2 linked regions of the Elephas maximus indicus genome follow. The protein of the gene in region 1 purifies or fractionates together with the protein of each later gene. This does not show direct contact. Links are inferred from orthologs where the notes say so. Each region holds a gene or a part of one and is shown in the gene's direction. Other genes may lie near its edges.

The links. Proteins that work in one complex are often made in the same cells at the same time.
Region 2: the proteins of CDK19 (region 1) and MED9 purify together in Homo sapiens (affinity purification with mass spectrometry; 7 studies listed by BioGRID and IntAct, counting the BioPlex papers as one, with this or other methods). This does not show direct contact. The link is inferred for Elephas maximus indicus from reciprocal best matches to the Homo sapiens genes CDK19 and MED9.

The regions. Positions count from the first base shown.
Region 1 is NC_064819.1:176,759,120-176,766,977, reverse strand, and holds the start of CDK19 (cyclin-dependent kinase 19), read left to right. Parts: upstream 1-4,849; 5' UTR 4,850-5,157; coding exon 5,158-5,285; intron 5,286-7,858.
Region 2 is NC_064820.1:214,931,023-214,938,210, reverse strand, and holds the start of MED9 (mediator of RNA polymerase II transcription subunit 9), read left to right. Parts: upstream 1-4,178; 5' UTR 4,179-4,260; coding exon 4,261-4,487; intron 4,488-4,497; exon of another isoform or gene 4,498-4,502; coding exon of another isoform or gene 4,503-4,651; intron 4,652-7,188.

The DNA.
Region 1 (7,858 bases):
ATCCTTAATCTCACTGCCTCTTATTCTTCTTCCTCAGATTCCCTAACTTTGACCAGAATCTGTTTCCCCAATTGCCTTCAAATTTAGACCATCCTTATTAAAAGGGGGAACCCTGGTGGCATAGTGGTTAAAAGCTACATCTGCTAACCAAAAGGCTGGCAGTTTGAATCTACCAGGTACTCCTTGGAAACTCTGTGGGGCAGTTGTACTCTGTCCTATTGGGTCACTGTGAGTTGGATTCGACTTGATGGCAACAGGTTTGGTTTTTTGGTTTTATTAAAAGCTTTGTTCTCAGACTTTTAGAGAAGTTTAGAAGAAGTTTTACAGAACAAACTAGCTTCTCATTAAACAGTTAGTACACATACTGTTTCATGACATTGGTTAACAATTCCATGACATGTCAACACTTTCCCCTCCCTACCTTTGGTTCCGTGTTACCAGCTTTCCTGTTCCCTCCTGCCTTCTAGTCCCTGTCCCAGGGCTGGTGTGCCCCTTTAGTTTTGTTTTGTTTTATGGGCCTGTCTAATCTTTGGCTGAAGGGTGAGCCTCCGAAGTGACTTCATTACTGAGCTAAGAGGGTGTCCAGGGACCACACTTTTGGGGTTTCTCCAGTCTCTGTCAGGCCAGTAAGTCTGGTCTTTTTTCGTTGAGTTAGAATTTTGTTCTACATTTTTCTCCAGCTCTGTCTGAGACCCTCTATTGTGAGTCCTGTCAGAATAGTCAGTAGTGGTAGCCAGGCACCATCTAGTTGTACTGGACTCACTCTGGTGCAGGCCATGGTAGTTGTGGTCCCCTTGTCCTTTAGACTAATCTTTCCCTTGTATCTTTAGTTTTCTTCATTCGCCCTTGCTCCTGAAGGGGTGAGACCAGTGGAGTATCTTAGATGGCCGCTTACAGGCTTCTAAGACCTCAGATGCTGTTCATCAAAGTAGAATGTAGAACATTTTCTCTGTAAACTTTGTTATGCCAATTGAGCTAGATATTCCCCTGAGACCATGGTTCCCAGAGCCCTCAGCTCAGTTAATTCAGTCCCTCAGGGAGTTTGAATGTGTCTATGGTGCTTCCATGACCTTGCTTTGGACAAGTTAAGCTGGCTTCCCCAGTATTGTGTACTGTCTTACCCATCACCAAACAGACAATAGATAAGTGGTAACTCTGGTGAAGGGTAAGACAGTACACAGTACTGGGGAAGTCAGTACAACATGTACAAGGCAAGGTCATGGAAGCTCCACAGACTCTTTCAAACTCCCTGAGGGACCGAATTACTGGACTGAGGGCTGTTTTCAGACTTTTAATCAATGTTTACTTAAATAGTGGAGAGATCTCCCCCAGAACAGTAACAGATATTTGCATGGCAGCTAATGCTGTGAAATCTAATTGGCCAGGTAAATGTTGTGGTTGATGGAAAGAGCAAGGGCAAGAAAAAAAACCAGTTGCCCTTGAGTCAACTCCAAGTCATGGTGACCTCATGTGTGCCAGAGTAGAACTGTGCTCCATGGGGTTTTCAATGGCTGAGTTTTTGGAAGTAGACTGTCAGGCCTTTTTTTCTGAGATGCCTTTGGGTGGACTTGAACCTCCAACCTTTCAGTTAGTAGCCTAGCGTGTTAACTATTTGCACCACCCAGGGACTCCAAAGGCAAGGAAGACTTCTTATACTTATTGAGGCAATGAATTTTTCAATGGAGATGGCAACTGCAGATTCTCTATTTTGTAAGCTCTGTGAGTCATGTATGGCATTAAGAAGGGGGAAATAATGAGCAATATCAACCAAATATGAAAGGAAAAAAAAGCAGAAGTTGTAATTTTAACATCTACAAAGTAAAGACAAAGATGATGCATGCTTCACTGGAATTATTTGATCTTGATAAATGGCTCAAGGTCTGGCAAACTGCTTCTGTAAGATTACAGGCAAGAAAATCCTATGCGAAAGCTTTACTCTGTCACATGGGATAGCACTATGAGTTGGAATCTACTTGATGGCACCCAACAACAACAATGTGATAATTTCTTTATTAGTCTCAACTCCCTTCAATCTATCCTGAGAGCTGTTGTCAGAAAAATCTTTTTTTTTTTTTAACATTTAATTCTTTTTAATGACCAGTTTTCACAGTATGTTGTTAGTATGCTAGCTATCTCCAGTGATGAACAATTTGTTTTGGATTTTTTTTTAATAGTTTATTTTTTGTTGAAAATATATATAGCAATTCAACATTACATACAATTCAAAATACATACACTGATTCAACAATTTCTACATGTACAATTCAGTGACATTGATTACATTCTCCAAGTTGTGCAGCCATTCTCACCCTCCTTTTCCAAATTGTTCTTCACTATTAACATAAACTCACTGCTCCCTAAGCTTCCTGTCTTAGCTGAGTTCTCTAGAGAAGCAAAATTAGTAAAGTGTAGAAATAGATAGATGATAGATAGATAGATAGATAGATAGATAGATAGATAGATAGATAGATAGATAGATAGATAGATAGATAGATGATAGATAGATAGATAGATTTATATCAAGGAAATGGCTCACTCAGTTGTTGGGGCTGGAATGTCCCAAGTCCATGGGTCAGGTTTCTCTGGATGCACATAGCCACAGGGGCTGGCAATCCCTAGACCGGTAGATAAGAGAGCAGGGCTCCTGTTCACAGCCTGTGAAGATGGATGAATCCCAAAGATCAGCAGGCAAGACCACAGGTAAGCTGCTAGTTCAAGTCCCAAGAGCCGAAGCCCAGATGGACAGGAGCGAGCTGCAAGATCCAGAGCAAGCAAAAGCCCACAAGCCTTGCCACTTATATTCCATGCAGGCCACATGCCCAAGGAAATTGCCTTTCAACTGATTGGCTACTCACAGCAGGTTCCATCATGGAGGTGATCACATCATACCAAATCTCATCATGGAAGTGATCACACCACCATATGAGTAGCAAATCGCTGAGGCTCATGGCTCAGCCAAGCTGACACACAACCTTAACCACGACACTTTCTGTCTAACCTTTCCACTTGTTGTCAGTTTGATCTCCTATAGTTTTTTTAAAAAAGAGTACTATGCTCAAAGCAGACATTCTTTACTAATTAAGCAAAATTACCATTTGGTTTAATTAAAAAAGACTTCAGAAGGATCTTTTGAATACATCAGACCAATTAAATCACTCTATCTCAAATGTCTTCGGTGACTCCCTACTGTCTACAATATGATGAAATCTAATACTTCTTGACATACCTAGCTTCATAATTTGATCTCTGCTTATCCGTCCAAAAGGCAAACCAAACCTGTTGCCATCTAGTCCATCCTGACTCATAGTTATCTGTCCAGCTCCTTCTTACCCATCTCCTTTCCCTGCCTTGATGTATAATATTCAAACTACTTGCATTTCTCAGAGTATATCAACCTCTCTTGATATATGTACATGCTGTTCTATCTGCCTGAAATAACTCCTTGCTCCCTACTGCCCCACCTGTCTTCTAGGCAAAGTCCTACTTATCCTTTAAATTTTGGCTCCAGCCCACTTTCGGAAAGCCTACCTCTAGAGTTATGAGCTCCTCATATTCTACCATTGGTCTTTGTACCTACACAGTTTACTGTTAATTTGCTTACATGTTTATTGCTACAATAGGTTTTAGTACCCCGAAGGAAAAAAACACAAGTTTTTCACCTAGTATCTCCAGCAGTTATCATAGTGGTTTGCAATAAGAGAAACTCAGTTACTTTATTGAACATGCCTTCAAGATCTGAGGAAGCTTCCCAGGCGGGATTGTTGGAGTAAACAAGCAATTCTCTCCTCCCGCCCCCCTTTCAGTTTTCCAGGCTTCTTCCAATACCTAGCAAGCAGAAGTCACTATAACTTTCCCTACTTCAGGCAAAATCGATCATTCCCTCCTTCGTGCTCCCACCGAATGTAGTACATAAATCCTATCCTAGCATCAATCACATTTAAGTTTGTATTTCGAGTATCTGAGACTTTACGAACACAATAATGAAATGAATCAATGTTCATAATATGCATAGACCATATATATATAAAGCCCTTTTCAATCCAACCAAAACGATTGTTTTTAAAACGCTGGATCTTCTAGGCATTCCGATTGTTCTTAGATGGTCAAAGCTTGGCTACCAAAGTTAGGGCGGAAGACCTACTACAGCACCACGAAAAGGATGGGGCTGAGAAGTTATAGGTTCTCTTCAACCAATGCAAGAACTAAGAAACTGCTGACGGTTCAGCGTTTGAAATAATGTATTTGCATCGTAAAGAAAAAAGATTAACCTATCAGGAAGAACTGAGCACAACCAATCAAAAGCGGGAAGGAAGCCAAAGACTGGGGATACCCACGCACCAACTAGGACGTCATTCTCTAAACTCCGCCAATGAGGGCCAGATGAGGGGGGGGGGGGCAACTGGAGGACAAATTGCCAAGGAAAATAAACAACAATCTGCAGTAGAACTGTTCTATTACAACAGTCCTCGCCTCGCAAACCCCTGGAGTAAACTTCTGGGCAAAGCACTTGTTAAGTACTTTCCATATTCCTTCTCGCCTGGAAAATCAGACTGGAATTCCTCCTTCCTACTAGAACAAGGGCCTTTTTCCACTAGCTCCCACAGGCTTGCAGAAAGCACACTGCAACTTGGCGCTTTTTACCTTCACTGGGAGTCCAGCGCTACCTGAGGGGGAGGGGCGGCCCCAGTGCGCCGGCGTGCATGCCTTGCGGAGGCGCGGCTCTGGGCCCAAGGCAACGTGGGAGTTACAGTTCTTACGGTGGCAATCCTTTAGCCAATCCTGAGGCCTTCAGGACTACATTTCCCAGGAGCCTCCGCGACCTTGGGGCGGACGGGCTGGTTCGTTAATGAGCTGTAGGAAGCCGCGGCGCGGCCCACCAGGTTCCAAAACAAGGAAATGAAGGGGGGAGGCGGGACTGAGGGTGCCTGCGGGAGCCGTCGCCGCTGCCGCCGCAGAGGAGGAGGAGGTGGAGGTGGTGGTTGCCGCGGCCGCCGAGGAGTCCCTTGCTGAAAGCGGATCGCGGAGCGGCTGGCGGCGCGCGCGCGCCCGAGAGGCGGCTGTTGTAGAGAAGTGGAGCGGCGGCCGCGGGGGGAGGAGGAGGAGGGACTGAGCGGCGGCGGCCCCCACGTCCCGGTGCCTCTATGGGGGAAGCAGACAATGGATTATGATTTCAAGGCGAAGCTGGCGGCGGAGCGGGAGCGGGTGGAGGATTTGTTTGAGTACGAAGGGTGCAAAGTGGGACGCGGCACCTACGGGCACGTCTACAAGGCGAGGCGAAAAGATGGGTAAGAGCAGGGGCGGGGGGAGTAGGGTCGCTCGGGTCCTCGCCCTGTCCGCGAACGGGCGGGATGGGTGGGTCGGAGCCCTATCGGACCGTTTCCAAGGGGCGCGGCGGAGGTGGTAGAGGGGCCATGTCCCGGGTTTGACTCTGAGAGACGCCCCCCTGCCCCTGCGGCTCCGTCGCGCCCCTCGAGCTCCCGCGGCGCAGCCCGGTCGGGGGCCGTCGGTCCCATGCCGAAGGGCGCTCTCCGCGTACATGGAGCAGGCGGCGACACGAGTTTGGACCTCGGCTAGAGGTGGAGTTGGTGGGGTCTGGTCTCTTGGGAAGACGCGGAGGAGTTGCCGCTCCGGCCCTGGGCTGGTGACGGCGGTTGTTGAACTTCCAATCCGCTGAGTCCCTCCCGGGGGCGGCGGTTTGAAACCTCGCCGCGGAGCCAGTCGCGCGGCTTAGCGCCTTGGTCCCCGGCAGTCTCCCGGGTCTGACCCAGTGTGCACGGCAGTCCCAGCTACGACCTCCGCCCCTGGGACCTGCTAGCCGGAACTGGCCCTTCAGCTCGGTCCCTCGCGTCCCTGTCGTGTTTTGGACCCCTCCTCACCCGTCTCCGCCCCGCCCCGCGCCCCGATTTCACACCCTCACTCTGAGTTCCGCTCGAATGTGGGACGACATCCTGAGAGAGTAACCGCGTTTTGCCCGCGAGAACTTCAGAGTTCTGCCAGGTTCTCTGGCACCTCTTTTTCCCTCACCTTAGGTATTCTTCTGTCCATCACTTCGTTCTCTGCCAAGTGACTACGTGCTGGGGTTTACTGGGCATCTAGATTATCAAAAACGGAGTACAGAGTGACACAGAGCTGGGCCTGAACCTTTGTTTTCCTGGGAGTTGAGGGAGAACCGTAGGACATCTTCGGGAATCTCCTACCTCATTAGAAGTCGAACTGGACGATATTACGAGTAGTTGAGCTCGAACTGCAGGACAGGTGGAACCAGCTCTCTGTGATGGGTGGCCAGTTATTACCGCATGTCCCATCGTTGTAGGAATTCCCCTCCCCCAGGGTTAGGGCGTCCAGAAAGATCTGCCTGCCATGCTTAAACTGCATAAAGACTGTCAACGTGTAAAGAACAGAGCTTTAGGGTCGTATTGAACATTTCCGAATAAACTGAGTATCAGCCACACTGACATTAGTAAGATTTGAAGGGCCACTTTCTGTGCACGCTGTTGCAATTTGATATGGTAGGTTTCTGAACTCTAGGACCAAAGTAGGTAGGTTGTGTGTGTGAATGTGTGCGTGTGTGTGTGCGCGCGCGCGCTTGCCCACTAGTTTCATAAAGGGAAAAACAAAACACAATTACTGTAAAGTTTTGGAGACATTTGCCCCTAGTTTTTTCCCCCCAATCTAGAGTTGGGTGTCAAGAATTATGATTCTCTGTACAAAAAATTTCAGAAATATTTTCTGTGAAAATATGTTGAAAATTACAAATTTCAGGATTATTATTATTGTTATTATTTTTTCTTTCTTATGGCTAAACAGGCCGGATAGTACTCAGTTGTTTGTGAACTTTTGTCATAATTCTTATAATTGCCAGGTGTTCTTGAATGAGTATCATGGGATGTGAGGTACTATAATTAACTTTTGTTTTTGAAATATGTACTTTACTTGTAATACTGGTGTTCCTGTGGGAGTGTTATCAAATATATTTGGGGAAGGCACATCAAGTTTTCCTGTTTAGACATTGGCATTACAAAATAAAAGTGGCTCTTTTCACACTCCTCGTGGTAACTTTGTAGTACACTTGACCTAGAATTTTTAAATGTATTAAAAAAATTTTTTTTGATTAAAATAACTTCCTTTTAGCAGACAATTTCTGAGAAAAGTTAAGAATTTTCTTCTGAATTGTATTTGAGTAGCATGGGCTTACAACAACAACAAACAGCAGATAATATAATTCCTATTTCCATTCTTTTTGAATATTTCCCCCCTCTAATAAAGTTGTTGATTCAAATACATATCCTTCTTGAGTGAAATTTATTTGATTAGAAGTAATAAAGCTGCGTTAGTAGAGGAAGATGGTTTCATCACATCAGATTGGTTTGTGTACCTTCAGCATAATATGCCTTTTTTTTTGGTGAACTTTTGGCCCATGAAAGCATTTACTTAAATCACTATATAACATGTAAGAAAAACCATAATAAAGGTTTTTTTTCTTGGACCAAGAGTCTAGTGAGATTCGAAGCTTTACAGCAAAACACATCTCTTGTGGGTTGTTAGTGGGATTAATTTATGTGCGTTGATACCAGTGATTTGAAAGAACGAAAAGTTTGTAGTGATTGTTCTAAACTGTGATGCAGATTTGTACAGTAAAAAATTTTGCACTCTGATCGTGGTAAATTACAATTTAGATGTTTCCATTTTTATTTTGGTTAACATAGGAAGATGTGTAATGCTGTTTTAGGGAGCAAGAGAGAACTCACATGATAGGTTAAAGAGAAATTATCCTGGTATATGTAGTATAGTACATAACTCAAAAATTATTTGGGTCTTTAGAAACACTGAAACAAGTAACAAAATATTAGAAAAATCT
Region 2 (7,188 bases), on another chromosome or scaffold:
CCATGGAGTGAGAAAGCAGTGTACCTTCAGGCAGGAGGTTTGCTGGTGGAGTAGGGTGCTTCCAGGCACTTGATAGAGCTAAGTTTGCCCATCCACAGAGCTAGAGCTGAGCACCTTTGGGCTGAGGTTTACTGATGGAGTGGGATGCCTCTGGGCACTTAGCAGCAGAACTAAAAGAGCTTGGTAACACTTGCCCGAGCAGGAGCCAGAGAGAGGCCTGCCTGTGGGCACAGCTGAGAAGAGGTTGTCCTGATGGAAGAACTGTATTCTGAGAGTTCCTGAACCTGAATTGTAACCCGTAATAAACCTCATAATTGTGAGTATTGTCCTTGAGTTCTGTGTAGCCACTGTAATGAACTATCGAAACTAGCAGAGAAGTAGAGTGTTGTGGGAGGGACAGTTGGTGTCAGAATTGGTAAAGATGGCAGAAAGAGGAGGCAAGTCTGACCTCTGCCTCAGAAGAACCAGCCTTGGGCTGTTGATCTTGATTCTCCTTCACCCTTATGAAGTTAGAGGAGATCAGATGCCACCTCATGCCATCTTTACAACAATAAAATATTATTTTAAAAAGGAGAAAAATATATTTCATACTTATGCACATATTGACTATTTTCAGAGTTCTTCATTCCACTGTATAGACTCAAATTTCTACCTAGAATCATTTTCCTTCTACCTAAAGACATGTTTCTTTATGTTGTTTGGCCACTGTTCTATAGGATTTCTCTTATTATTATACTGATATTATAGTGAAATACATAGGAGAAAATGGACTATTTTAGACAAAACATTTACATGTAGACAATAAAATACCTTGTTCGCAATTTTTAATATAGATTACATGTTGAAATAATAATATTTTGATTGTGGGTTAAGTAAAATGTATTAACATTAAATTCACCCATTTCTTTTTTTTTAATGTGGCTAAGAGAAAATTGAAAATGACATTTCTATTAGAGTGCTGATCTAGATCATTCTAGACTATTCTTCTTAACTGCCACCAGTTGATTTTTTTTAATTGGTGAGGGAGGAAACCCTACATCTGAATAATAAGAATTAATGTTTGCTGAGTGAAGATACTTCTCTACATGCTTTACCTGTATAACCTCACTCAATCCTTCTATGAGGTTGAATCAGGAAACAATTGTCCAAAGCCGTCCAACTTCAGAAGCGGAGCTGGGATGGAAAGCCAGCAGGTTGGTTCTGAAGCCTGAACTCACAACCTCCACCTGACCAGACAAAGCCCTTTAAGAAGCTGCTTCGGAAAGTGATCCACATATAGCTTAACTCTGTGACGTTCATAACAACATATACTCCTTAGGTATCAATGAAGCAGCTGCCTTTTTCTGACTCTTCACAAGGCGGTTATAAACAGACACATGTTTGTTGCCGCAATTGAAGCTTTAATGAAACCAGCACAGGCAGTATTTTTGTGACATCCACTTGCATCCTTGTGAAGTCAGCTTTACTCTTTGCCCCTAATTATATTAACTATTTTTAGGACAAATTGTCAATGTGCCATACTTGTTCATGCTTAATACATTTTCAAATTGTTTTCTTTAGCCATATCTATTTATACTTGAAGTGTTTTTTTAAAAAAAGATTATTCCGGCAATGACAAAGATTCATGATGAAGTTATAAAACACACCAGGAGAGGAAGATGACATGCAGTCACCATGGGGATATTATTGATGAATAGCAGATTGCTTTTTGAATTCTGAATAAGAACTTAACTTTAACATTTTGAATCATAAAGTTTCAGAATTGGAAGGGACCTGAGGTCTCTTATGCACAGGCTTGGTGCCAGGAAAGTTGTGTGTGTGACCCCGGGACCAGGGTCTTAACCGTTGTAAGACTCAGTTTCCTCATCTATAAAATGGGAATGCAAACATCTACCTTCTAAAACTCCTTTGTGGATTAAATGAGATAATATTGTAATTCTGTTTCTTGTACCTTCTTTTATTCCATGGTAGCTATGGTTATTATTATTATTATTACCATTATTCCATCATTATTTCCCCCAGGTGACTCCAAATGTATACCCTCTCTTCCAGCACATCTGGTCTTATCCCAATAGTCCTTTCTCCTCTATTCTCCACAAGAACTCTTGAACTCTTCCCTTAGGTGAGGAGGTCCCTGCAGGCCTCTCCCCCTCCCTTTCCTCTCCAGCACCCCCAACAACACCCAGTTTCCACTCTGCAATCTTGCTGCCCAAGGATCTGCCTGCTCCCCATGCTTCCGAAATATCAGTTACTGCTCATCTGGCTGCCTGAAGGTGGACTCCTTACTGCCCATGATGGTAGACTGAGGAATGATGCCAAATGAAGGCTTTCCTAGCCCATGCCTTTCTTCTTCCACTGGCTGCCCAGCCTAGACATTTATTGTACAGTCCCCTGGTCGTACCTATTTGAGGAACATAACCACAAACCACCAGAAGTCTCCCTGATTCCTTGGGTCCCAGGGGGTCCTCATGCAAATGAGACCTACCTTCAGGGGTCAGCCACATATTTAAACTTAGAAAGCAGTCTAGGCTTCGGAGGTAAGGAAACTGGGACCTAGGGAGCTTAAGGAACTGGCCCAGAAGTATGAAGAGTGTCTTAGTTATCTAGTACTGCTATAAAAGAAATACCACAAGTGATGGCTTTAATAAATAGAAATTTAATTTCTCACAGTCTAGTAGGTTACAAGTCCAAATTCAGGGTGTCAGCTCCAGGGGAAGGCTTTCTCTCTGTTGGCTCTGGAGGAAGATCCTTATCCTCAATCTTCCCCTGGTTGAGGAGCATCTTAGGCACAGGGACCCTGTGTCCAAAGGACACACCCTGCTTCTGGTGCTGCTTTCTTGGTGGTATGAGGTCCCCAACTCTCTGCTTGCTTCCCTTTCCTTTACTCTCTTGAGAGAGAAAAGGTGATGCAGGCCACACCCCAGGGAAACTCTACCTTGGATCAGGGAGGTGACCTGAGTAAGGGTGGTGCTAAAAAATCCCACCCTAATCCTCTCAATATAAATTAATTACAATCACAAAATGGAGGACAACCACACAATACTGGGAATCATGGCCTAACCAAGTTGACACATATTTTTGGGGGGACACAATTCAATCCATGACAGAGAGTATTTGAAATTCTTCAATGTATTATTATTTGTGGCATGAATCCCCATCTAGGTCCTTGGGTGGTGCAAACAGATTTATGCTCAATTACTATCCTAAAGGTTGGCAGTTTGAACCCACCTAGCAGCCCTGCAGAAGGAAGGCCTGGTGATCTGCTTCCATAAAAACTACAGCCAAGAAACCCTGTGGAGCAGTTTCACACTGTAACATATGGGATCGCTGTGAGTTGGAATCTACTCCATGGCAACAGGTTTAGCTTTGTTATTTTTTTTTTGTTTTTTCGGGGGGAGGGGTGGTTAATCCCTTCTGAAGGAGCCCTGGTGGTAGAACGTTTAAGTGTTCAGCTGCTAAATTAAAGGTTGGTGGCTGGAACCCATCCAGACAATCTGCAGGAGAAAGACGGGGCTATCTGCTTCTGTAAAAGTGAAAGAAACAAAAAACAATTCTAAAGGTTACAGCCTAGGAAACCCTATGAGGCAGTTCTACTCTGTCCTGTAGGGTCGCTAAGAGTCTGAATCGACTCCACCACAGTGGGTTTGGTTTCTTTTTTTTTTTTTTTTTTTCAGTCTTCCCATAGTTCAACTTTTTTTTCTTCAGGAGACCTTCCAGAGGAATGGCGGATGGTGGGAGCCCTGGTGGCGCAGTGGTTAAGAGCTGTGGCTGCTAATCAAAGGTTGGCAGTTCGAATCCAGCAGCTGCTCCTTGAAAATCCCATATGGGGCTGTTCTACTCTGCCCTATAGGATCACTATGAGTTGGAATCAACTCAAGGGCAATGGGTTGAGTTTGGGCCACGCTGAGCCTTATTTATCGCAAGGTTTCCGTGTTGGTTGCGTTTGGGCTCTCTTCGTCAGATGAATAGGAATAAGAAAGACTGGGTTATTTTTTGAAATAAGTCTCCTATTTCCGAGTGTTTAATAATTTAGCCATGTTGACTCACAGCCAAGTTCAGGCCACCCAGGCCCGCCAACAGCCTGTTGCCCAGCAACAGTCGCCAAGCACTGCCCAGCCCCTTTGCCCGGCACCCATACGCCTGTGCGCATGCGTAGACCCTTCCTGCCGGCGCGCAGCGGTGACGTATGAAATCCGTGACGCTTTCGGCGTGTTGATCCCCCCAGGGTCCTGCTGATTGACTGACAGACCCCTGAACTTCATGGCCTCCGCTGGTGTGGCCCCCGGGCGTCAGGCGGAGGATGTGTTGCCGCCGCCGGCCGAGCCGCAGCTTCCAGAGACGAAGCCGCTGCCGCCTTCTCAGCCGCCAACGCCGGTCGCTGCGCCTCAGCCGCAGCAGTCGCCCGCGCCGAGGCCGCAGTCACCTGCGGGCGTGAAAGAGGAGGAGAATTACTCCTTTTTACCTCTGGTTCACAACATCATCAAATGGTAAGGCCCTAGAAGATGACCATCCACGACACTCCCCCCTGCTTCGCGTCACACCCCTGTCAGAGCTGGAAGAGGCTTAGAGGCTGCCCCCATTTTACATATGGGGCTTCGGAACCGGAGGGGAAAGAGGCTTTTCCCAGGACCTCGCAGAGCCTTTCCATGAGGTCAGCAAATGCCTTGATCCCTAAGAGTTACCAGGCCTCATGATGGCCAGCCGATATTAATAAGAATGAAGTCAGCTCAGAGACTAAATTCACAGACTCTGGAGTAAAAAAAAAAAGTTTGCATCGCAGCCATCTTGAGCAAGTTCAGCCTCTCTGACCCTCAGTTTTCTCATCTGTTATATGGGGGTAATTCTCACTTTGGCTCCTTTTTTCTATTCAGCCAACAGGTTTTGGCCCTCCTTCCTGTATGACACACGGCTAAGTGCTGTGGAGTGTGCCAGTTAGAAGGAATGGGAAAGACACATAATTTAAGATGATAAGGAAGGGCTGATGATTAAAAGAAACAAGTTCCCCACCAGATTAGATCCTGTGGCACTAATTTCCTTCTAACATAGTACCATAGGGGGTGGTTGTCATCCTTTTGGCCAGGATTCAAGTTAGCTAGAGTTTTCAAACTGACCCCTGTAAAAGAAAAAAAAACCAAAGGTCTCCCTGATCCCCATTTTTACCTAAGTTATTTTTATTCTTGTTACTTGAATATCTATCCACAGGATACTAGGTGGAAACCCCTTATGCTTATAATTTATTTAGCCATTAAACCAATACAAATGCACAAAGTAGGTTAAAACGAAATTACTATTCTAGCACAATTCAAATGCACATTAGTACGCTGTTTGATGTTTTGCTGAAATGGAATTGCTACATGAGGATAAAAGAAACAAACAAATAAAAAAAACCAAACCCATTGCTTTGGAGTTGATTCCAACTCATAGCAACCCTATAGGGCAGAGTAGAATTGCTCCATAGGGTTTTCAGGGAGTGGCTGGTGGATTCAAACCGCTGACCTTTTGGCTTGCAGCTGAGCCCTTAACCTCTGCACAACCAGGGCTCCCACATGAACATACGGACCATTAATGGCCCAGATTCTTTTGAGTAGCCAGCCTAAATTCACTTGCTGTGGGATACATGATGTTTCCACCATTTTTCTCTTCAAACTATTGCAAAACCTTTGTTCTCACATTAGACCCTGACTTCGTCTGGCTTCGCGTTGCATAAACAAAAGTGAAGCAGACTCTGTTCTTGGCAACAGTGAGTTTGCAAAGACAAATGCAAGTGCACACCCCACACTCCTGGGGCAGTACTGGATTATGAAGGGGTTGGCCAGGTTAACCCAGATATACTTACGCTAGTTTTTAAAAAATCTGGGAAAATGAAAACCCAAAATATACACATTCGCAGAGACGGTTCTTAGACCTCTGAGAGTATGTTCCTGAGCCCTGATAGAGCAGTGGGGTTCTGCTGGCTTTAAGGATGGGGCAGTAAATTATACTAGAGAGAACATAGGCTTTGAAGTCAGGCGGTGCCGGATTCAGGTGTGTTAGGCCTTAATTCTCTCATCTCAATATGTGGATAATAATAATGGACCTCAAACTAGGGGTTCAGATTATAGCTCTATAATATGCTAGCTGGATGACCTTGCACCAGTAACTTAACTTCTCTGAGCCTCTTTTTCTCCTGTGAAATTGCTGAATTGTTGTGCAGTATACTCAAGTGTACTTTCCCCCCTGGGAAAGACGGCGGGTTAATCTCATGCATTCATCTCTGTTTCCTCTAAAAGGACAGTGAAGGGGTTTTTCTTTCTTTCTTTTTTTTTTAATGTATAAAACTAAAAAGAACAGGAGAGGAGATGATTGCCACAGGGCAGGCGGTCAAGGGCTGACTCACCTACCAGCCCTGAGAGCAGTCCACCTTTGACCGTGCTGTTGTTTTTAGGTGCTGTCAAGTCAGTTCCGACTCATAGTTACCCTGTGCACAACAGAACAAAACATTACCTGGTCCAGCACCATCCTCACAATCCTTCGTATGCTTGAGCCCATCATTGCAGCCACTGTGTCAATCCATCTCGTTGAGGTTCTTCCTCTTTTTCAGTGACGCTCAGCATTACCAAGCATGATGTCCTTCTCCAAGGAGTGGTCCCTCCTGATAACATGTCCAAAGTACGCGAGATGAAGTCTCAACCATCCTCGCTTCTGAGGAGCACTCTGGCTATACTTCTTCCAAGACAGATTTTTTCATTCTTCTGGAAGTCCATGGTATATTCAGTATTCCTCACCAACACCATGATTCAGAGGAATCAATTCTTCCTCAGTCTACCTTAGTCATTGTCCAGCTTTTACATGCATATGAGGCAATTGAAAATACCATGGCTTGGCTCAGGTGCACCCAGTCCTTAAAGTGATATCTTTGCTTTTCAACACCTAAAAGAGGTTTTTTGCAGCAGATTTGTCCAGTGCAATATGTCATTTGATTTCTTGACTGCTGCTTCCGTGGGCATTGACTGTAGATCCGAGTAAGATGAAACCCTTGATCTTTCACCGTGGCCTCTCCCGAGATTCCAGGAATCAGCAGTATCAGGAACCTCTGGAAATAAGGGTGAAAGTGGGACTAATAACAGGAGGATCACTTAAAAGTCTCTTTAAGAAACGGATCCCCACAGTCCTCTGACAGGGAACTCAAAGCAACAGGTGACTACGGTT